3 linked regions of the Notamacropus eugenii genome follow. Each later gene encodes a partner of the first gene's protein in a complex. Links are inferred from orthologs where the notes say so. Each region holds a gene or a part of one and is shown in the gene's direction. Other genes may lie near its edges. The genes, in order: CNOT11, CNOT6L and CNOT6.

Region 1 (7,486 bases):
TTTGGAGGAAAGTGCTTTGTAAAACTTTGCAAAACTTAAAGTATTTTATACATATGAGACTCTCATATTTCTCCTGAAGGACTTCAAGTCAAGAAACCTGGGTTCTAATTTTGATTCTGATATTTATAAGCTGTGCTCCCATGTTCATCTGATATTCAGTCTCAGATGAGAAGTCCTCTGGTAATTTGTGCCTTCTGTCTCCTGCTGTACCTTGAACAAAGGCTGCTAGGGGCCAGCTCAACTTACCTTGGTGCCAACTTGATTTTCCCCTGCCTGAGACTTCTACCTCCTGCTTCACCTGATCTCCAGGCTTGGGTGTGAAAAGTAGCACCATTCCCTTTGGACAGGCTTTCCATCACCTGCTGCAGCATCTCCTGCCTAGCCTTTGGAGCCAAAGAGGAGGAGTAAAATGAGACCTCCTATCTTCCCTTCTAACTATGTGCCTTCCATCTTTTGCTGCTTTTGTCTCCTGCCTGATATCTAGCAGATAATTTTCAGATCTACCTATCTTTCCCCAACCTCTCTGTTGAGGAAAATTAATATTGTACTATATTATTTAATAATTAATATTTCTCTGTGATACATGCTTTTCCTCATTTGGACAGATCCCATTTCTGAAAGACAGGCCGTTTCTGAAGGGTATGATCTTGATTAAGATGAGCACTCCCAGCCCCAAAGCATCTGCTCAGTAACCAGACTGGGCAGGGCACCTTGCCTCTGTTTACCCCATAAGCACAGAAGTCAGCTTGAGCCCTTGTTTTTCCTGACCAAAGTTAGGGATGACCTGGTCTACCTGACAGAGACCCAATCAGAGATATTTGACTGAGATGACTTATGTTTTTGTAGCTAAGATTACTAGAAGCAGCTGGATCTCATAAAACAACTAGCCTCCTCTAAGTGTCAGAGAGGAGGTAATCAGCCACATCTGAAAGCCAGCCCTAGCTTCACATTAACCCTTTCACCTGAGGACTGGTCCTTCCCTTGGGGAAAGGGGGAATGAACTCATAGGAAGGTGTTGAGAACTATTTACAGCCTCTTCATTAAAATGTCCATCAGTTACAACTGCCACAATGTCAGATGTAATGAAATAGCAATATTATCAGGGGAGGGCCAAATGATGTACTGTAAGGCCAGTCAGAAGAAAGACACACCTGGGTTTAAAAAGCCCTGTCACTCTAAATGCACTCTTTTGGCACCATTGGAGGCAGACCATAAGAACCCTTTACTAATAGGTTCTGCACCCTATTAATAAATGATGTCTTGCTCAGCAAATTGCCTCAGTTTACCTTTTGTTAAATTTCAATCAAGACATTGATGACTTCCAGCCTTTTCATCTCCAATTGGCATTCAGATATCTCCAGCTTGATGTCCAGGAGACACTTTTAATTCAATATATCATTAGCTTTCCCTGTAAATACTCCCTCACCTCATAACTTTCCTGTTATTATCCAGGGCAATATCTTCTCAATCTCCTCAGTCTACTCACTATCTTTCACTCCCCACTCACTACACACCATCTGTACTCAAGGTCTATTGATTTCAGCTTTGCAACATCTCTTGAGTATATGTTCCCTTCTCTCCTCTAACGTTACCACTCCTCTGGTGCAGGCCCTCATCACTTCATTTCTGGACTACTCCAATAGCCAGCTGGAGAGTTTGCCCTCCTCAAGTCTCTCCCTATTACAATCCATCCTCCAAACAGCTATCAAAGTTATTTTCCTAAAGATCATATCTGACCTTATTAAACCCCATCCCCAATAAACTCCAGTGGCTCCCTATCACCAGAATCAAATGCAAAGTCCTCTATTTAGTATTCAAAGTTCTTTATAAGCTACTGCCTCTCTCCCCCAAATTTCCAGTCCTCTCAAGCCTTATCCTCTGCCATGTAATTTATGATCCAGGGACACCAGCCTCATTGCTCTTCCAAAAACAAGACACTCCATCTCTTGGCTTGAGGCATTTTCTCTGCCTATCTCCCATGCCTGGAATGCTCTCCCTCCTCATCTTCACCTACTGACTTCCCTGGCTTCCTTCAAGTCCCAACTAAAATCCCATCTTCCATAAGGAATCTTTCAGAAAGGCTCTTAATTCTAGTGCCTTCCCTCAATAATTTACTTCCTTGATGTTCAGGAATGGTTTGCCATTTCCTTCTCCAGCTCATTTTACAGATGAGGAAACTGAGCCAAATACGGTTAAGTGACTTTCCTAGGGTCACACAGCTAGTAAGTGTCTGAAGCTGGATTCACATTCAAATCTTCATGACTGCAGACTGGGCACTCCATCTACTGTCCCACTTACCTGCCTTCTTTTACTTCCTACTTATCCAGTGGGTGCTCTAGCCAAAGGAATGTAAATTTTGATTGCTGAAACCTTGCAAGATATCTTGGAGTTTACAGGCTAGTTTTTTTTTTCTCTTCTCTACTTATTTATTCTAAATTTAAAAAAAACACTGAGACAATTAATATTTTTTGCCCCATATCGTTTCATTTACGATTTCTTGAAATACAGCACTGGAAAGAAAAAAACTGGCTTTGATAAAACCCCTTGGGCTTCCAATTGAGCTACTTGACCATGCCTTAAACCCAAATCACTTTGGCTGTCACTGATTGGCCAACAGTAAGTCCTAGTCCAAGTCTCTCTTGGGCCTTGTTTGCAGTTTTTATAGCTCAGAGTAAATAGCAATATTTCTGTTCTGAACTGAAAACCCCGAGAGTGTTCCCCTCCCAGACTGATTTTTTTTTGAGTAGGTGAAAGCGGCTGATTTTTGGTCTCATTTCTTCACTAGCCTTAAACATTGATTGGGGGTTGCCTGGGACAGACTGAGACCTGGGAAAGACCTTAATTAAAAAAGGCCAAGATCTCCCACTACATCAGGGGCCACCGCCAGTCATTTGGCACTGGACCCAGAGGGCTCTGGAGGAGAGAATGGGGCTGGTGACTTTGCGCAGCCCTGTCTCACTTCAGTCCAACTCCCTTGCAACAAAGGACAAACCACTTATCCTGTATGGCTTATTTGCATATTTTCCCCATTAGATTGTGAGCTCCTCACAGCCAGAAGTCTTTTGCCTCTTTTTGTATCTCCAGAGCTTGGCACATAGTAGGGGCGTAATAAATGTCCTGACTTTGACAAAGCAGCTAAGCTCTCTGCGATTCAGATTCCTCATTTGTAACATGGGAATAACGCCTGCTGCACAGGGTTTGTGGGGAGGTTTACTGAGGTCACATTTCTTGCCTCCAACTCAGGGCCTCAAGAGGTCTGTGTAACGGTGTCGGCACTGAGCAGGGTGACCTCAGGCTCTCGGCGTCCTTCACTGTAAGATGGGTATAAACCCTCCCAATGCCAGTGTAGGAAGCTCCAGGATCCAGCTGTCATTAATGAAGGAGGGCCATCCGCAAGCCTCACAACAGCGTGTAAGAGTGAGCCGGTGGCAGAGTTTAGCTCCAGCTAGGACCTGGTTCTCTCAAAATTAACGCATTTTCCCCAGTTGCTAGGTGGTGCACCGCAGTCAGGAAGACTAATCTCGTAGAGTTCAGACGCTTACTGGCTGTGTAGCCCTGCTTGTCTCAGTTTCCAATAAGCTGGAGAAGAAAATAGCAAACCAAGAAAACCCCAAATGGGGTCACAGAAAGTTGGACGTGACTGAGCTGACGGAACAGTAAGACAGGAAAAAAAATGACAAATCATTCTTCCAGCCAACAGGGGCGCTCAACTGCGGCTCCACTGGCACACCCAACTGCGCAGCCGCTCTCCTCTTCCCTCGGAATGGAGGAAGTCGTTGATACCAAGGGGCCCGACTCGCCCCCGCCTCTGCCCGAGGCCCCGCCCCTGGTCCCAAACCTTCTCCATTCTTTCCTAAGTCCCACTCCTTCGCCCTCTCTTCCCAGGACCCCGCCTTTTTCTTTCTGGCCTTGCCCCATCTCCTACTTTCTCTCTTCCCAACCAACCTTATCCCCTCTGTTCCATCCCCTCACTCTGAGCACGTCCGTTCCATTACGTAATCTCCCTAGCTCCTCCTCCCCTCCGCCTCTCCGTCTCCTCGATTCCAGCCTGTCTCTCTTCTCTTCCCAGCCGTAGGAGCGATGCTTTACGACACTGTCGTCTAACGGCGGGTCTTTACGGCAGCGACCGGCGGCAGGACGGCAGCGGCCGTGGCAGCGGGAGCGGGAGTTTGGGCGTCAGTGGGGGCGGCAGTGCTGGACGGAAGCGGAGGGGGCGACGGATCCGAGCGTTTAGGCCAGGCCAGGGCCGGGGCGCGGGGCCGGAGGCGGCGGCGGCGGGGGGGTTGATGCCCGGCGGCGGGGGGAGCCCGGCGCCCTGCAGTCTCCTGGCCGCCTCGGAGCCGCGGGGGGGCGAGGAGGCAGCGGCGGCGGGGCCCGGCTCGGGCGGCCCCGGGGGCTCCTCTTGCGGCCCCGGGCTCGGCGGCGCCGGCGGCGGCCCCGGCGGCAGGATGAGTCTGACCCCGAAGGAGCTCTCCAGCCTGCTGGGCATCATCTCGGAGGAGGCCGGGGGCGGCAGCACCTTCGAGGGCCTGTCCAGCGCCTTCCATCATTACTTCAGCAAGGCGGACCACTTCCGCCTGGGCTCGGTGCTCGTGATGCTGCTGCAGCAGCCGGACCTGCTGCCCAGCGCGGCGCAGCGCCTCACGGCGCTCTACCTGCTCTGGGAGATGTACCGCACCGAGCCGCTGGCTGCCAACCCCTTCGCGGCCAGCTTCGCACACCTGCTGAACCCGGCGTCCCCGGGCCGGGGCGGCCAGGAACCGGACAGGCCGCCGCTCTCAGGTACGGAACTGCCACCCGGCCCCGCTCCGGCGCGGAGCGTGTCCTGGGGCGTTGGAGCGTCTCGGGGGCTATCTCGGCAGGTGTGCTAGTGGGCTGTGAGCCTGTCATGGCCCCCCCTTGGCTCTGTGTCCTGGGCGACTGAGCCTGTCATGGCCCCCCTTGGCTCTGTGTCCTGGGCGACTGAGCCTGTCATGGCCCCCCTTGGCTCTGTGTCCTGGGCGGCTGAGCCTGTCATGGCCTCCCCGCCCCCCACCGGTGTTCTCAGCTGGACAGTGAGGAGTTGTGCTGCCCCATCAGGGGCAAAAAAAAAAGTATGCTTCAAAAAGCATTGCTGTATAGTTTTAGGATTTGTCAGTAAGCATTTATTATGTACCTATTTATTAATTACCTATTAGTAACTATCACAGGCACTGAGGATCCCGAAATAAAATGAAGCTTTCAGGGAGCTTGTATTCGTTTGGGAAATTAACAAATGCAAATATAATTAAATATAAAACTTATACAAAGTAACTTCCAGGAGAGTAAGCACTAGCAATCAAAAGGACCAAGAAAGGCTTCTTGTAGGAAGTGGTCCTTGAATTTAGGAGAGTAGAGATTCTGAAAGAAGAGTGGAAGTGACGAGGTTGTAGATTCCATCAATAGGTGGACAGTCTGGAGGTAGAGCATCAGTCTCAGCAAGGAGGTCAGTATAGCTAGAATAAAAAGGAGAAATACGTAACATCTGGAAAGCTAGCTTGTGAAGGACTTGAGTGCCAAAGGGAGGAGTTTTTATTTTAGACTAAAAATAGTAGGGTACTAGTAATAGCTACCCCAGCTTTTTGAGCCAGGGAGTGACATTGTCAGGTCTAGATTTTAAGAATTTCACTTTAGCAGCTGTGTGGAAGTTGGAGTGGAGAAGAATAACTTTTATTTGAGTTAATATGAAACAAATTGGCTCTGCTGTAACTTTTAAGTCCCACGGAGGAATGGATAAACAGGTTAGAGGATTTCAAGAGAATTCTTTTAAAAGTGTACTTGTCCAATTGTGTGTCCTAGTGGAAATAGACCTGGACTAGGAATTAGACCAGTATTCTAATCCAAGCTTGTTGCTTATCTTTGGCACCTTTGACCAAGCTGCTTCACCACTTTGGACTTCAGTTTCCAAATAATTTCCAAAATGATTGAGACTAAGAGACCTCCAAAGTACTTTCTAACCGTAAATATTAAGACCTTAAGTTTGAATAATAAATAGTCTGCTTTTCTAGCCTTATCTCAACCAAGCTGAACTACTTTTTCCCATTCTCTTTCTTGATAGTTTTTATGTAAAGTTTTCAAATCATTTTCATTATCTGTAGTTTTAAGTCTAATCTTCATTCTAAGCATTATATGGTGAGAAGGTAGGGATCATACTCAAGTTCATCTTGTCTAAAGTAGATTACTGCATGCCATATATAAAATGAACAGCTATGTAGCAAGGATAAGGATAGATCACCTGGGGCTAGGTTCAGGTGTTTTCTTTAAGGAAAGCTGCTCAACAGAACCAGGAGAACATTATATACACAGTAATAGCCACAGTGTGTGAGGACTGTTTCCGATACACTTAACCCTTCACAGCAATGCAAGTAGAGCACATAAAAGATTGCATGCTATCTCAGGGAGGGAGGGGGAGAAAAGTTAAATCTTGTGGAAGTGATTCTTGAAAACTGAAAACAAATTGAATTTTCAAAAAAAATGTTTTTAATCCCTCAAAAAAAGGGGGGGGGGGAAACTGGTCAATATCTGGGCTTCTTATTTAAAATTTGAGGGACTTTGGCATCTATGAGATTTAGACCCTAATAGTATGAAGCAGAAATTATAGTCCACAGATGACTTTTCTGGGACTAAAAGCCCCTAGATCCAATGTAATATCCTTTTGTACAAGGAGAGATGGTAGGAGTGGTGCCTTCTCCCTTCAAGCCTATATGAATTATTGGAGGCAGTATGTTCAAGTGGAACAGGAAGCTCTAGATTCACATTCTTTCTCTGACACTTAGGAGCTGTATATCTAAATTAGTTAATCTCACTGAGCCTCAAGTTCTAAATCTGTAAAATGAGAGTGATAGTACCTGTAACTTTACAGTTTCATTGTGAGAATCAAAGATCATATACACAACAGATTTGGAAACCTTAAAATGCTTCATGCATTTTATAATAGGCACTTAATACATTTTTTTTTATTATTTGAAGGGACTGGAAACAAGTAAAACATCTTTTATATATTATATTCCTTCTTCTTCTTTCACCCCTTACCTTAGAAATTGTGACACCAGTATGGACAACTCACCTTTTGCTTTTTGGAAACTTTCATGGGCTGCCAGTGATCTGGCTAATGCTCTTGAGCTGTGGTTTATGAAATTCCAGTATTAATCTCACAATATGTAGCCTTCCTTCTTCCACTTTTTTTTTCCCCGACAGGGTACTTCAGTCAACTAGAATATCTTTTACAAGTCAATGGGTCTCTGACTTTGAAGATCATTACTGTATTGGGAAAAAGAAGAATAAATCCTGCAGGTGCCACCAAAGTAATAGCTATATTCTTAAATTCAAAAATAGAATTTTTAAAGGAGGACAAGGACTTTAAATAGTATAGAATTCCGAATAAGCCGGGACAGATGAGAACAAGAATTCATTTTTTAAAATTTTACATTGAGAACAGACTTTGATGAAGATGGTAGATTTCCATGAC
Region 2 (8,024 bases), on another chromosome or scaffold:
CCTGCACTGACCACATATTGTTCTATCTCAGCAGCACCAAGATGTTGGTTTTCACACTCAGAATGAGATCAGAAGGCTTTTTCTATAAGCCTTATACACACATATGTATATTATATATATATTCACATACACACACATATATGAGAGGGAAGTCAGTCAGTCAGTCAATAAACTGAGTAGCATTAGGGATACAAAGCAGCTCACAGTCAAACAGAGGAGACAACACACAAATAACTAAACACAAACTAGCTACGTATAAGGACAAAGTGGAAATAATGAACAGAAGGCCCTCCTTCCCTCTCTTCTTTCCTTGGTAGCTATGAGTGAGTAAGGTTGGCTTTGAGCTGCCCCTCACAGTCAGGTGGGAGAAGGGATGCTGCCATGTATTTACCAAGGTACGGTGGTTGTGAGCACATGGCCATAGCCATTGCCATCACTTTGGATTTGTTCTTTCTGATCTGAGTTAAACAAATATCCCAAGATGGTAGTGGGCGGGAAGTGATCTGGTGACGTTGGAAAGCGCTAGAAGTTTGCAGCTACTGTGGCAGTAGTATCAACAGGTATGGCAGTGGCTGATTACAGAATTACCTGAACTGGGAGTAGTGAGACACCCCAAGGACTGAGAGATTCAGGAAAGATGACTGCTCTCAGTAGAGAGAATTGAGGGCTTTAAACTTCAGATAGGCCTAAGATAGGCCTAGATCCTGGGAGCCTGGCTCAATAACCCACCTTGCTGAAAGGAAAAGTTGACCTAAGTGGGCCTTCAGGAGGACTCCAAGAAGGGAGAAAAGGACTTACAGGGTAAGGAGTTGGGAGGTGTTCCTATATCATTTATGTTCTCTACTCATGTACCTCAATCCAGTTTTACTCTGAGGTTAAGCCCACTGACTCATGGACATTCTCAATGAGGATGAGGGTTCCCTGGACTTGGAGAGTAGGAAGTATGTTTTGTACCAACATTATCTTTGTAGACACCTTTTCTAAAAACTAACGGAGGCTACTACTGGCTGACTATTGATACAGAGCATACATGGGGGGACTCTGGAACGACTATGTAAAGAGAACAGGTAGCACTGGATTATCTTTGGAATCCAAGACAGCAATTTCCCAGCTAAGAATCTGCCATGGTAACTGTGGATTTGGGGGAGTGGCCCCAGACGGAATGCTACATTAGCCATGTAGCTAACGAGAACTGAGGAAAGTAACAAGGGAGAGAAGATACCATTTCAGAGCTAAAGAATGAAATACACAGCACATTTTCACAGCACTACAAGAACTGGTTAATTTAGTCAAGATATTTTTAAAAAATCAAACTGTTTTGGAAAAGAAATCACCAAATACATTTGTATTCATTAATATTAACCAAATGAATCTATATTTATTATTAATTATTGATTAACTAACACTAGATGCTAGGAACTAGATCTGACAGGTGGAAAGTTAGTCCCTACCATTACTCAAAGTTCCCCTGGAAAGGTGAATTCTCAGAACACTAGTTTCCCTTTGACAAACCGACTCCTCTATGAAGACTTTCCCTAAACCTCCCAGTTTCGTCACCAGCTCTGCTGTGGGTGCTAGGAGAGTGGCTGATGCCCATCAGAAGGCAAAGAGGTTAGGATCTTGTCCAGAATGGGAAAGGGGCTGATTGGGAGAGCATTCAGGGATAATGGAAAGTGTACTATTGGAAACAAGGATTGTCTATTACAGGGAGCTTGGCTGACCACACACTGGTTGAGCCATGGACCTCCTTTTGAAGACCCCTGTTCTAGAGTTCCTCTTTGTGAATGACATTATAGGGATTTCATCAAGCTCTAGAATGCTGCAGAGCATTTCCACTAAAATCCAGGATCATTTGTAAAGGATCAGAGCAAATGAATCAATTCCCCATAGTTCAGAAACCTAATAAGTTTGCCTGTGAGTAAGCATACTTTGGAGAATTTTTCAGATGAACTATGGGCGATTTTATGTATCTTCTCAGGAAAGCCTTCCTTGACTATCTTAATTGCCCCTTTAAAAATCACTTTGTAATTACTTTTAGAACATTTGAATGCCAGAAGCGGGTCCCCTGAAGGACAGACCCACAATGCAATGAATGACTTCTGAACGGCTGAGAGACCTCCAAGCCCACGACATTGCACATAGCATACATGAAGGAGATATGACTCCTGATTTGTGGAGTGACTTTGGATTGAGAAGAGAGAGAAATGGAATTTGAGACCCTATTCTCAAGGAGTTTGCCTTCTATTAAGAAAAAATGTAATGGATATTTGCATTTGCAGTTGGGATAATCAACTTGTCTTCCTCAATCTTCTCCAAGACAGCCTGTCAGTTCACAGGGTTAGGTGGGCTAGATGTTACATGGTGAATGAAAATGTTGGCAATGAAAAGACTTTATGGGGAAGAGTTTATTAACTATTGTAGTTACCACTTAGTAGTTCCTATTTTAGCTGATACAAAACAATTACTTACAATGCTTAAGAGTGAGAAGGGGTCAGAGCCTGACTTTTCTGTCCCATGACAAATGAAAAATTTGATGAGATTAAACAAAATCTGACCTGTAGCTTTCAGGTATGTGTATTTTGTCCTGTTTTTCTTTTTAAAATGAGAAGTGTGGCAATGGTTTAGAGAGAATAGGGAATTCAATTCTCCAGTTCTGAAATGATTTGTTCAGATCTGCTGTTTGCAAATCCAAACAGTGATATTTCTTATTCTTTCAAACTAGATTGTTGGGGATTGGAGGGCTAATTTTCCTGGATCAACACTAGTATCATCTGGTAGCTCCAAGAACCTAAAAGATGAGTCGTTAAGTTCAGTAATGGGGAAAAAGTGTCTGTTCCCGTCTCTGTCCTGAGGGCTTTTTCCATAACACATGCTTGAAAGAAAGCAAAATATGGAACAGTTGGACCTGAGCAATGATGGACATGATATTCCTTGAGCTCTGGTTAATGATTTGCACCTGCAAAGCATGTTTTATTAATGAAGAGAGGCAAATGCATTTTACACCTAATAATAAAGTTTAAGATTAACTGAAAGAAACACAATGAGACCAGTGTACTAAGTAACATCACAACAGTCCCTGTGCATTAACCTTCCAAAGCTGACGTCCAAAATGTGCTTAAATTCAGATCTGAATTGAATGGCAGTATTATGCCCCTAAACTGATTTACCATAATGGGGTATTGCCTAAAAGAGCTGGTCAGTCAAAAACTAAAACAATGAAAAAGAAAAAGACATCCACTCACAAACGAGTGAAAATGAATGAAAATTATTTTTATTGGGCCACTCACATCACCCAGTATGCAGCTTGTTTGTGCACAGTTGGCATGTTTTCTCTCCCTTTGGTCTGTGAGCTCTTTGAGGGCAGGGGCTGTCTGCATCCTCAGGGCTCAGAGGTGCCTGGCATGCAGTAGGTGCTCAATGAGTGCTCCTTGACTTTAAAGGGATGCTGCTTGCCTGCTGTCTCCCCTGTGAGCTCTCTGGGGGCAGGGGCTGTCTGCATCCTCAGAGCTCAGAGGTGCCTGGCATGCAGGAGGTGCTCAATAAGTGCTTCTTTAAAGGGATGCTGCTTGGCTGCTGTCTCCCCCGTGAGCTCCTTGGGGGCAGGGGCTGTCTGCATCCTCAGGGCTCAGAGGTGCCTGGCATGCAGTAGGCGCTCAATGAGTGCTTCTTGACTTTAAAGGGATGCTGCTTGCCTGCTGTCTCCCCTGTGAGCTCCTTGGGGGCAGGGGCTGTCTGCATCCTCAGGGCTCAGAGGTGCCTGGCATGCAGTAGGCGCTCAATGAGTGCTTCTTGACTTTAAAGGGATGCTGCTTGCCTGCTGTCTCCCCTGTGAGCTCCTTGGGGGCAGGGGCTGTCTGCATCCTCAGGGCTCGGAGGTGCCTGGCATGCAGTAGGCGCTCAATAAGTGCTTCTTGACTTGGTTGGGTAATCTTGGCCCTTGCAGGCGCTTTATCTCGACACTTAAGGGGATCAGAGGGCCGGGCAGGGCAGACTTTCCTGCGCTCCCGGGGGAGGGAGAGGTGGGGGGAGCTCCCACAGGTAAGACGACCCTTCCCACGGCCCATCCCAGCCGCGGCAGCATCTCTGGGACCAGCCCGATCCCGGGCCCTCACGCAGCCCGGGAGCCGTCCCCCTCCGCGGCCCTTCCAGCCGAGGCCCGCCTCGGAAGGGACTGCGGTAAACAGTTCGCAGTAAAAATAGATGGCGGGGTGATCTCAGCTCTGCCTCTCCCCCCTCCCTCCCCGGGCGCGCGTACACCCCGCAATGCTTGCAAACAACCGGAAGGTCGGCGTGGGGGGGGCGGGAGGGAGGAGGTGCGAAGAGGCTGGGCCAGGCCCCCTCTCCGCCCCTGCGCGCAGGCGCAGCCCCGCCCCCAGGCCGTGCGCAGGCGCATCCCCGCCCCCGGCCGAGCCACGGGGGCGTGCCCGGTTCCCGCCAGCCCCTCCACGTCAATCAGCCCTCCTCCCACACACGGCACCTTGTTGTGAATCTCCATCCGCAGCTCGCGCTGGGGTCGCCTCCTCTCTTCCCCCGGTCTGAGGACTCAGAACGTGGGCGGCGCGTGAGCGCGAGAAAGCACCGGACAGCGGCGGGCGCCGAGGCCTCAGCGAGCAGGCGAAGCCCCGCGCCGCCGGGCCCCGCCGAGCCGCCTCCGCGAGCCCCTGGGAGCGGGGCCGCCCCGCCGCGGCCTCCGCCTCGGCCCTCCCCACGGCCCGGCCCGGCCCGGCCCGGCCGCCCCGCGCCCCCCCCGGCCGGTGCCTGTCCCCGCCGGCGGGCTGCCTGCATGTCTTGGCTGCCCTCAGCCCCGCCGCCCCCGCCGTCCCCGCCGCCGCCGCCGCGCCGCCTCCCCCGCTTGCCCCGCCGCCGCCGCCGCTGCCGCCGCCCGGAGCCCGGCGCGCTGAATGCAGGTGAGGCGGGGGCTGGGGGCCGGGCGGGGGAGGGGAGCGGGGCGGGGGGGGCGCGGGGAGCGCGCGCGCCCGCCCTTCCGTGCCCGGCTCGGGGCCCGGCGCTCACGGCAGCCGGGGAGGAGGGCGCGAGGTACGGCGGGCTGCGGGAGCGGGGGGCGGGGGAGGGCCGGGAGGGCGGTTTGGCCCTGGGACCGGCGGGGAGCGCGCGTGGGCGTGTAATGGAGGCGGCGGCCTGCTGTCTGTTTACACCCCCCGCGTGCGTGCGTGTGGGTGCGTGTGTGGCGCGGGGGCGCAGGTAGCCAGCCTCCGGGGCGGGCCGCGGCCGTCGTGGCTGCTGCACGCGTGTCTGCGGGCCCGGGGAGCACCGCGGCCTAACCGCCCGGACGGCGCGGGGGAGCGGAAGAGCGGGACCGAAGGGGAAGCGCGCTCTGGGAAGCCCTCGGGGCTTGGTGCCCGCGGAGCCCCCGTGCCCGGCGGGGCGCGAGGGGCGGCCGAGGCCCGGGCCCCGCGGGCGCCCCGGCGGGCCCTCCGTGCGCACGGTGGTGTTTGCTCGGTTCTCGTCCAATCTCGCAGCGTGCTGAGATTAAAGTGCCCCAAGCACCGGCCTGGGTCCGAGGGGGAACGCCCGGGGTGCGTGTCACCTGCTCTGCCGCCCCTCCCTCGGGGCCGGTGGTCAGCGTCCGCTCCCGGGTCCGAGCTTTGTGGTGAAGACGCTTCCCGGCTCTCGGGGCTGTGGAGGGGCCGGGGGCTTCATGCCCAGACCTTGTGGGTGAGACCCCACTGGTGTTAGAGGTTTAGTGTGTCGTCCGGCTTACCGCACCGCAGACAGCTTTCCTCCCCAAGTAGCAGTGGCTAGTTATTGTTGGCCTGAGTCATGTTCTCTTTATTGGGGGAATAGGGAAGAAATGAAGAATTTATATATGCCTATAAAACACCTACTGTGTGCCGGGCACGGTGCCCAGCTCTGTAGAAAGCCTGACAACAACCCTTCCAATAGGTGGTGCTCTTGGCCTCATTTTACAGTTAAGGAAACAAGGAGAGGCGAAGTGACTTGCCCAGAGTCATGCAGCTCTTGTGCATCTGAGGCAGGGTTTGAATTAAGTTCTTGACAGTATTATATATCACGTTGTATGAATGCTAGTATTCGTGTCTGTCGCATACTGTGTTGAAACCTAGTATCAGTTTTAATTTATCTGGTTGTGAAGTGGTAGCAGTTTTGGGGAAAAAACCCTAGCTTGTACTGATTTAGTTGTTGTCATATTTGGATTAGCATGTATTTTTCTGTGAACTTAACTTTTTTAGAAGGTCGTCTGAAAGTCTTTAAAGTATTGTTTTAGTCTATTTTAACACCCTTTTCCAGATGAAGAAAAGTCTAATTTTAAACATTTTCTATTTCTGGACCCCCATTTATTGGTTTGCTTATTCCTTTTACTTATTTTTTGTGGAAAAATTGATTTTTAACCGGGACTCTTGAGAGTCTTTCAGGAGGTCCATGCTGTCAAAACTCTTTTCACTCTACTACTGAAGTGTTTATCAATACATATAATCCACATAAACAATAGTTCTTTGTGGAGAAGTTCCTTAATATTTAAGAAAGTAAAGAGGTCTTAAGACCAAAACATCAGAATACTGCTGCCCTTAAGGTATAGGGATGGAACCTGTGATGTCAGTGACATTGAAAACTCCCAGGTGAGGAAATTACCTCTCTCCAATGCAGAGATCTGGTACCTTATCTGCAACTTACTCTTAGACCAATAATTGTCTATAGCTCTGAGAGGTTTAATTGACTCTTGGATCACAGAGCTAGTTTATGTCAGGTTGAGCTAAATCCAGATCTTCCACTATACAATGCTGCCTGATTAAAAGTTTAAAATAACAAATAATTTATTTTTACATACCATAATGTACAAATGCATCAAGAAGAGAAATAATGTAGGTAATTGCACTATTTCACCTTCACGGTCATTGAGTCAGAAAATCCTGAAAGATTTTAGTTTTTATTGAAAATATACCATCATTCAGTTATGAGAGACAGCAGTGGCAAGAGGGCTAGTGTTGGGCCTGGAATCAGAAGACCTGAGTGCAAATGTGGCCTCAGACACTTGCTGGCTATGTGACCTTGGGGTAGGTCTCTTACGCTGTTTGCCCCAGTTTCCTCATTGTAAAATGGGGATAACAGGGTAGTTGGGAGTTGTTGCAAGGTGGCACAGTGGATACTGGGCCTGGAGTCAGGAAGACTCATTTAACTGTGTAACTGGTATGTGTGCAAGTCACTTTACCCTGTTTGCTTCAGTTTCCTCATTGATAAAATGAACTGGAGAAGGAAATGGCAAAATCACTCCAAAAGAATCCCAAATAGGGTCACAAAGATTTGGACATGGCTGAACAACTGTACAACACCAAAAGTTGTGAGATAATATTTGTAAAAAGTGATTAGCGCAGTACCTGGTAACTAAATAGATGGCGTATTCCTTTTCTCTTTCCTGCTCCTCTTTCCCTACCTCATCAGGAAAGCTAAAAGTGACTTGTCCTTTTTGGTATGTATACCATAAGGAATCGAATGAACATTAATAGTTTCTGTAAATTGTTAGAAGAGTTCGGTTGAATTAGCTGAATTTCAGGGATCTGATTGTTTAATTGAAAAGTACTTTTTTTGTTTTTGAAGGGGGAGAAGAAAGGTTATTAGTGTAGGGGGAATGTAAACAGATTATTGTGTTGGAATCACCAGTGATTTTCAAAACAAGACTAGGCCTTAGTAGCATTAACATTAATTGATATTTTTGTTAATCCAGAAAACCATTGAGGTTGCAATATACTATTTTTGCGTTCCATTTCTGACCAGCGTGCTGGAGCGGCTTTATTATAAATTGCAACAGACTTCTGTTAATCTATATAATTTTTAAAAAGTTAACTAGAGTAGATTTAGATTCTGAATTGAGAATCCTTACTCAAAACTATTAATAACAAAGAATTATAACAATCGTTAAATGAACAAAATGTTTTGATCTTAGAATTAGTTGTATGTTAGTATAAGTCATTTTTAAATAAGCTGTTTCAATTACATTCTGTAAATGCTTTTCTCCCCCTTCCATTTTTGGGTAGCACATTTCATTGTAG
Region 3 (8,249 bases), on another chromosome or scaffold:
ACTAAGCTTTTGGTAATACAGAGACAAAAGAAAAACAGTTCTTACCCTCTAGGACTTTACATTCCAACTGGAGAGATGACATGTACACACATAATCATAGAACATATAAAAAAATAAATACAAGCTAACTTTCAGAAGGAGAGGCCTAGCAGATCATGTTGGAGGTGGGCACCTAAGCTGAATTGACCCTTACCTATATAGAATTAGACAAATTTGACAACATAATAAGGAGCACGGGTATTCATTTAGAGTAGATTGCAATCTAATTAACAAGGAATTAAAATAAGCAAGCATTCTATCATCCATTTCTTACTCACCTTCCATACCTCCAGTCCCACAGGGTAATAGCCTGCTTGTATCCACCTCCTCCAAGCTGCCTTATCAGCACAATGCAGTAAAACCAGGGAACAGGGAAAAGGTGTTCGTGACTCACCTAGGGCATGAATACTGAATTCTTGGTGCTTGAGAAGACAAGAAATCAGGGATTCATAGAGGCAGAAGTGAGGGAGAAAACGACAAAAGTGGAGAAAGGCAGAAAGTTGAAGGGGGAGAGCAGTGGTAAGGAAAAAGGAGAGGAATAGAGGAGAAGAAAAGGGGAGGGTGGAGAAGGGAGGAAAGGGGAAAGGAGGAATAAAGAAACTTGGAGAAGAGAAGAAAGGAGAGAAAAAAATTCAATTTAACTCAATAAGCATTTATTAAACACACACAGAGTTGAACTGTGATGCTTTAAAAAAAAGATTAGGTCTCCCTATCTTGCCCAGGCTGGAAGAGGAGCCATTGACCACCCCAGGTCCGTTATTATAATTGGTTCAAGAGCCTTGACCTGCTCAGTTTCTGATGAGCACATGAAGCCTGGTGGACTTCACTCCTAGCAGCTTACTACATTAATATCAAACTTAATTCGGACACCCAATTAGTTTAGCCTACAGTGTAGAACTGCAGTGCTCAAGAGATCTGCCAGTCTCAGTTTCTCCTACAGCAGCAGAGGGCTTTGATTACCAAACTTCAGCTCTGATTCTGAAGAGAAAGAGGTGATATACTAGATGCTAGGTACTAGGGATAGAAAGATTAAAGGAAAAAAGTCCTTTGCCTTCAAAATTAAAATTCCAGCAAAGTATACAGCAGTAGCAGATGGATAATAAAAACTCATTCAATTGAAATTTTCCTTGAATCCTAGTGGGAGAGAGTACAATATGTACACAGATAAGTAAAGGCAAGATCATTTGAAGAAAGTGAGCATTAGTGAGAAAGGAAGGAAACCTGCCATTATTGAGTATCTACTAAGTACCAGGCACTGTGCTAAATGCTTTCCAAATAATACCTTTTGATCCATCCTTACAACAAAACTATAAGGTAGGTGCTTTTATTATCCTCATTTTACAGTTGAGGAAATTGAGATAGAGGATAAGAAACTTGCCCAGGGTCACAGAGCTACTAAATGTTTGAGCCTAGATCTGTCACTAGTCTGCCATAGGCCTTCTTATAGGGGGTAGCATCTGAACTTGGCCTTGAAAGAATTTAAGGATTCTAAGAGGAGGGGTAAAGAGGGAAGGCATTCCAAGAATAGGAAACAGCCTATGCAAGCCATGGAGGTAGAATATAGGGTGCTGAGTTCAGGGAAATAAGTAGGCTGGTTTGATTAGAATATAGAGTACATGAAGAAGAATAATGAAAAATAAGACTGGAAAGGTGGGATCTGAAGGGCTTTAAATATCATACTGAGGAGTTTATTTTAAAGGCAATAGGGAGCCACTGCAGATTCTTGAGTAGGTTAGTGATGTGTTCAGTCCTGTGATTTAGGAAGATTGGTTTGGCAGCTATGTGGAGAGTAGATTGAAGAGAGGTAAGAGTTGGATGTAGGAAGACCAATTAGATTAGGTGAAAGGTGATGAGGACCTGAATTAGGATATGCATTAAGTCCTTTTCGGGAAGATGGTCTTATGAGATAATGTAGAGGAAAATCAACTAGATTTGGCAACTGATTGGATATAGGGGATGAGGGAAAAGGAAGAGTCAAAACTAGGACGTTGCAAAATTGGGTGATTAGAAGAGTGGTGACACTTGTCAAAAATGAGGAAGTTTAGAAGAGATGTAGGTATGAGCGGGAAGTTAATGTGGTCTTTTGTAAGTATGTTGAATGTGAGATGCTTATGGGACATATTTTTGGAGATATCTTGCAGGCAACTGGTGATAAAGGACTGGAGCTCAATAAGAAATTAGAGCTCTATCTATAGATTTGAAAAATCAACTGCATTGTGATGATAACTGAATCAATGGGAACTGATAAGAAGGCCCAGGATAGCATCTAGAGGAATACCTATGGTTAGGGGGGCCAATCATGGAAGATGCTATATCATAAAAGAATGAAAAAGAATGGTTAGATGAGAAAGAGAACTAGGAAAGAGCTGGGTCATGAAAGTTGAGGGAGGAGACAGTATACAAAATCACGAAGTGGCCAGAAGTGTAAAAAACAAAACCAAACCCAAATAAACAAACTGCAGAGAGGTCAAGAAGGACGAGAATGACAAACAGCCATCTGACCTAGGCAAGAGCAGTTTCTGTATGGTGGTGGGGTTGGAAGCCAGATTGGTAAGGGTTGAGAAAAGGGTGGGAGGAAGGTGGTGGAGACAATCAGCTATTTCTAGGAATTTAGCTATGAAAGAGAGGAGAGATATAGATAGCTTGAAGTGAAGGGGTTCTTTCTTTCTTTGTTCTTTTCTTTTAAAGGATTAGGGAAGACAGGGCATACTTAGGAAGGACCTGGAAGATAAAGATAGACTGAAGATTAAATAAAGAGGATGATTGAAATAAGGATATAGAACCAAGGGTACCCAGAGAAGGGTCAACTTTGGAGAGAAGAGGTATCTCTTTGTCATACTGCAGCAAAGGAACAGTGAATGGGGGATGATATAGATCAGTTTTTATATCTAGAAAAGGAAAAAAATGGGGGTTCTCCATGGATGCCTCTATTTTCTTAGTAAAGTAGGAGGCACTGTCTTCAGCCAAGGTGTGGTTGGTAAAGGACAGAGTAGAAGGAGATTTAAAGAGAGATTTGGAAGAGTATACTCTGTGAAGACTATAAGAGAATGTAAGTCAGAGAGGAATGAAAGAATTGTCTTACAGCAGTGAGGGCTGGGTTGAGGTTATGTAACATGAATTAATAGAGGAGCTTCTATTTAGCATCATTAGAATGGGAGTAGAAAAGGTGGGGATTGGGGTTAGTCAAGGTGTGAGTGGGGACAGAGAAAAAGAAACAAGGGTAGAAGAAGAGCATACTTAGATTGTAAATTGGAAAGGAGTAGTTCACTACATTGCTAAGGTGGGCCAGAGAAGGAAAGGTCCACTGGGAAAGCAAGGAGATGACACAGAATAGTTTTAGGTGTGAAGTTCAGTGAGGAATGGAAGGATAGGGAGTTATGAGATAAGAAAGAATTTCAGATCTGGATAATAGAGTTGGAAGAATTATGGGAGATAGGGAGAACAAGTTTATGACCTTTTTTGTGCAGCTGAGGTGAAGCAAAATTACAGTTCTGGGAGTAGAGGCTGATAAAGTGGAAGGTTCATGTATGTGAAGAAATAATAGCAGACATTAGAGTCCCCAAGCATCAAGGCAGGGGTACAGGCAGAAAGCAGGTCTGTGAGGCCCCTTTAGATGAAGCAGAGGGAATGACCTGGGGGCAATAGCCTACTACGAAGAATCTGGATTGGGAGATAAAAGGAAGCAATAATAATTTACATTTATAGGCAGCTTTCAGGTTTACAAAGTATTTTCTCTAGTCATCTATCAGTCATTTAGCATTTACTAAGCACCTACTAAGCTCCAGGCTATACAGGAAGTAGGGAGTGAAAGCTATTATTTATCCCTATTGGACAGAGGGAGGAAACTGAGGCTGGGAGGTGAATTTACTTGCCCAAGGTCAGGGGGCTAGTAAGTGTCAGCTTCAGGTTTCCTGATTTCTTTTCTTTCTGCTACACGTGAGTAGAGTGTGTACGGATGGGACAAAACCAAGAGGGTGGGGGTGTGAGGGGATAAAAGAAAAAAGAGAAAAAAAGAGGTTGGGGGGCAGGAGAAGAGAAGAGGAAGAGGAGGAGGAGGAAGAGGGAGGGAGGGAGGGAGAGAGAAGAGAAGAGAAAAGGGGAGGGGAGTGGAGAGGAGATAGAATAAGGAGAGGAGAGAGAAGAGTGGTAGGAGAGAGATAAGAAAGAAGAGGAGACGAAAAGGAGAGATAAAGAGGAGAGGAAAGAACAGAACAGGAGAGAAGAGAAGGAGGAGAGGGAGAAGAAGGGAGAAGAGAAAGAGAAAAGGAAAGAAAGCCAGAAAAGGTGGAGAAGAGAAGAAGGGGAGGGAGCGAACGGGGCAGGCCAGCTCAACCGCAGCCCTCTGCGGGGGGAGTGGGGAGGCAGAGGCGTTTGTTGTGCTGTTCCCCGAGCTGGTCCCCGAATGGTCGCGTCCAGAGCCCGCGGCCAATGGGCGGCGGGGATGTTGGGAGCCGGGACCGCTGTGTGGGCTCTCGCTGGCTGGGGACGGCGGCCGCCGCCATGATGCTTGTTTGCTTTCAATGAAAACGAGGGGGGCGAGGAGGAGGAGGCGGCGGTGGCGGCGGCGGCGGCGGCGACGACGAGGAGGAGACGGCGGCAGGGAAGGCGAAGAGGGCGGTGGCGAAGAAGAAGCGGCGGCGGAGGGGAGGCGCGGGTGGAGGCAGTAGCGGCGGCGGCCGGGCTCCGGGCGGGCGGCCGCGGCGCCCTCGGAGGGAACAAAGAGCCGCGGGAGGCTGAGGCTGAGGCGGCGGCGGCTGAGGCGGGAGCGGCGACGGCGGCAGCGGCGGCGGCGCGGCGGCAGCTGGGGGGACTGGTATGGTGGTTCCAGAGGTCACACCCCGCTGCACTCACAGGGAGGAGGAGGAGGCGGAGGAAGGAGGCGAACCCCGAGAGGTAAGCGCTCGGGAGCCGGGACCCCCCAGCTCGGCTTGGGCCGGCCGGGGAAGGAGCCGAGGCTGAGGAAGGGTCGGGGCAGGAGGAGGGTGGCAGGCGGTGGGGGGGAGGGAGGGGGCAGAGGGGGAGGGGAGCCGGGACGGGCAGGCGGCCTGGGCTGCCCTCGCGGGGCTCCCGGGCACTCAGGCTCCTCTTCCTGACCCCCAGGATCCCCCCCACTCCTGGAGCAGCTGTTCGCCCGGGAGAAGTTGTCTTGCCCCGAAACTTGCCATCCTTGATCAGCCCGGGCCGAGGGGCGCACGTACGCTCCGCGCCCCAGGCTGGGCACCCTGGATGTCTTCGCTGCCACCTCCATCTCTTATTCCTCCTCCTCCCCACCTCGAGCTCCGTTTCTTTTCATTCATCTCAGCCCCGGGGGCGAGTTCTCTTTCTTTTCCTCTTCCCCCGCTCCCCATCAGCGTGGAAGCACCCACACTTCAACAACAACAAAACCACAACTTTTTTTTTTGTCCCATGAAAGTGGGGAGGAAAACCCCCACACCGCGGAGCTGCTCGTTCAAGCAGAGCTGTCGATTGTTGTGATAAGAATCTGCAACAACTAGTGTCGCTGCAGCTGCAGGTCGGGATGCTGAGGCCTAGTTGGCACCAAAAAAAGCCACCACGGCAGCAAGCAGTCAGAGGCTGAGTCAGAAACCATCAGGAAAGAGAGTTAGGGCTTTGATTGACAGAAGCGCAGGGAAACCGAAGGGAGGTGGGTGGGACTTAAGATGACTAGCAGGTAAGTGGCTGAGACGGGGAGGCTTACACATGCAGGAAATCAACAGTAGAGGATTGCTTCCAATTCCGTTCTTTGGGATAACTCCAAGAACATGCCTGCTTCTTGGGGATGTTTTGTTTTTTTTTAATCAGTGAGTAATTTTGTATCCAGCTAGTAGGAGAAACTAAGTAGACTACGTTTGTAACAGGATGAAATAATTTGGATAACCTGTGTAACTTTGATTTTCAGGGGTAGACATTGTATTTGTTTTGGCGTCATGTGGAGATGGGTGTATGCATGTTTTATATTAATATTCTTGTATCCGGTGATTCATGGGAGCAGATTTCTTTAAAAAGTGATTAACTGGAACAGTAATACTAACTTTAGAACATTTTTATCGGCCCTAGCGGGTTAAAGCTGGAAGGACCTAAAAGATCCTATCTGTAGTCCAAACCCCTTCATTTTGCAGGCGAGGAAACTTAAGTGGCCTGCCCACAAGGTCACATAAAGAATTAGTGGCAGATCCAGACTACAAGTTCAGTGTTTTGATTCAGACTTTAGAACACAAGTTTTGCATGCAGTTGGAACATAAGGTAGTTGAAACATATAGTGCTGTATGGTTTGCAGAGTACTTAAGTTTTCACTTGCCTTTTTCATAACAACTATGTGAGAGATAAATGCTGTTATCTCTATTTTGCAGAGAAGTAAAGATAAAGTAAATTCCTTGTCAAGGTCATACAACAAATAGTTTCTCCAGGTGGAATTTTTGAACCCAGGTCCTCCTGGGTTGTATTTCTGTGTGTTGGGGTAATTTGTCTCTCTAGTAGTATGAGTTAAGTTTTAAAAGATAGCTATCTATTATTATGCTAGTTTGAATCCACTTTCCCTCTCTTTTGAAATTGGACCTAGAATCAAGAACTGACTTATGAAAACTAATTCAGAAGAATTAACCATATTTCAAATGGTCATCTTGACATTCTGGGATTTGCAACGAGAAATAAATCATGTGTTACATGAGTATGTCCAAATTTACATTAATTTTGTTTACGTTGCTCTTGGCTGTATAGGCCCAGTAAAACTTTTCTTTTCACTTTGGATTCTCGAAATTTTTAGATTTTCTCTTTGGACTCTGATTCACAGAGGAATAAAGGTGAAAAAAAAATTAAGTATGAAATATGACTGAGGTTTTTAAAAGCTTATAAAAAATAATAAAACTTATATGTAGAAACAACAGAAGTTATGTCTCTTACGAGGTACTTTGGAAAATTCTGTATTTTAGTGATGATTCTGTTGCTTCAAACATTTTTAGATTATCTCTGGGGTTTTTCTTAATTCTACATCTAGTTCTAAATATACTCAAGTGGTAGCAATTCTTCGTCATTGAGTTAGAATTGTAAAGTTGGGCTTTTTTTTAGAAAGAGCTTTAAGACGCCTAAAAGCATATAATCTGACTTATTTTACCGATGAGAGCGCTGAGGCCCAAAGATATTGTGACTTACCTAAAGTCACATTAATTAGTATCACATTAGTCTTTTGATTCCTAATTCAGTATTCATTCTTTCTACCTTTTGAGGGTCAAGTTATTTTCTGAAAATAGCCAAAAGTCTCTCAGAGTCACTGAGTGTGATGGATAAGGTAGGTAAATCAACTGGGTAATTCCGTTTTTTACTCAGAGGTGTGACTGTAAAAGAACAAGACTATTTGTGTCTAACTGATTTTGATAGCAATTCCAAATGTGGCTTAAGCTATATTAGACTATATCTCCCAGTGTATCTGCTTAGGATGCAATCTCATTACATTTTATCCTATATACTATATTGTCAAGTGCAAACACTTCATTAACTGATTATAAAAGTCCAGAAGTTTCTTACTGCCCATTGTTCAGTTAATCAGGCAGAGTTGGTTAGGAAAACTTCCAACTCTATAATGAAATTTTATTCAGTGGAAAAACCCTGAAATCATTTGCTAATGTAGAAGAACTCATTGTTTCTTGTTATATATATATAGTTTTTAAATGCATAAAATTATATTGCCATTGATACATTGAGGTTTGTAGATACATGTATCCTCCATGTATTTATGAACTTATAGATTTATAGATACATATATCCTACATGCAATACTGAAAGAAAAAAAACGTTTTAGTAGGGGCCATCTGGCACCATTAGTTTTAATGGCAATAATTTTGGGATTTTGGGGTAATTATATTTTTAAATTTTCTTGTGAGTTAGTTGTCACAAAACTGCAGTTGTAGCTCCAGACCTCTAGTTGTCAAGAAAAGTCATTATTACTGACATATTTCTTTAATTTCTTCCTCAAAAGAAGTTTAAATTTGGAAAGATGGCCGGGATGGGAAAAGGGAGTAAGCTAGTTATATAGTGAGACTGAGTGATAACTCAAACTGTACAAGTGCTTACATAATGTTAAAAGACCTGGAGGGAAGGTCTCCCACTGAGGGGAATGCACTCACTTTTCTTCATCTCCCTTCCCTTGCCCAGGAATGATTGTTTTGAAAAGACATAAACATAAGTTGCATAGATAAAAAGGACTACATGACTTG

The links.
Region 2: CNOT11 (region 1) and CNOT6L share a complex: the UniProt entries of both Homo sapiens proteins name them as parts of the CCR4-NOT complex. The link is inferred for Notamacropus eugenii from reciprocal best matches to the Homo sapiens genes CNOT11 and CNOT6L.
Region 3: CNOT11 (region 1) and CNOT6 share a complex: the UniProt entries of both Homo sapiens proteins name them as parts of the CCR4-NOT complex. The link is inferred for Notamacropus eugenii from reciprocal best matches to the Homo sapiens genes CNOT11 and CNOT6.

What each region holds. Positions count from the first base shown.
Region 1 is NC_092877.1:174,374,033-174,381,518, reverse strand, and holds the start of CNOT11 (CCR4-NOT transcription complex subunit 11), read left to right. Parts: upstream 1-4,248; 5' UTR 4,249-4,286; coding exon 4,287-4,782; intron 4,783-7,486. UniProt on the Homo sapiens protein: Component of the CCR4-NOT complex which is one of the major cellular mRNA deadenylases and is linked to various cellular processes including bulk mRNA degradation, miRNA-mediated repression, translational repression during translational initiation and general transcription regulation.
Region 2 is NC_092878.1:148,694,197-148,702,220, forward strand, and holds the start of CNOT6L (CCR4-NOT transcription complex subunit 6-like), read left to right. Parts: upstream 1-4,806; 5' UTR 4,807-4,907; intron 4,908-8,024. UniProt on the Homo sapiens protein: Has 3'-5' poly(A) exoribonuclease activity for synthetic poly(A) RNA substrate.
Region 3 is NC_092872.1:415,725,493-415,733,741, reverse strand, and holds the start of CNOT6 (CCR4-NOT transcription complex subunit 6), read left to right. Parts: upstream 1-4,809; 5' UTR 4,810-4,932; intron 4,933-8,249. UniProt on the Homo sapiens protein: Poly(A) nuclease with 3'-5' RNase activity.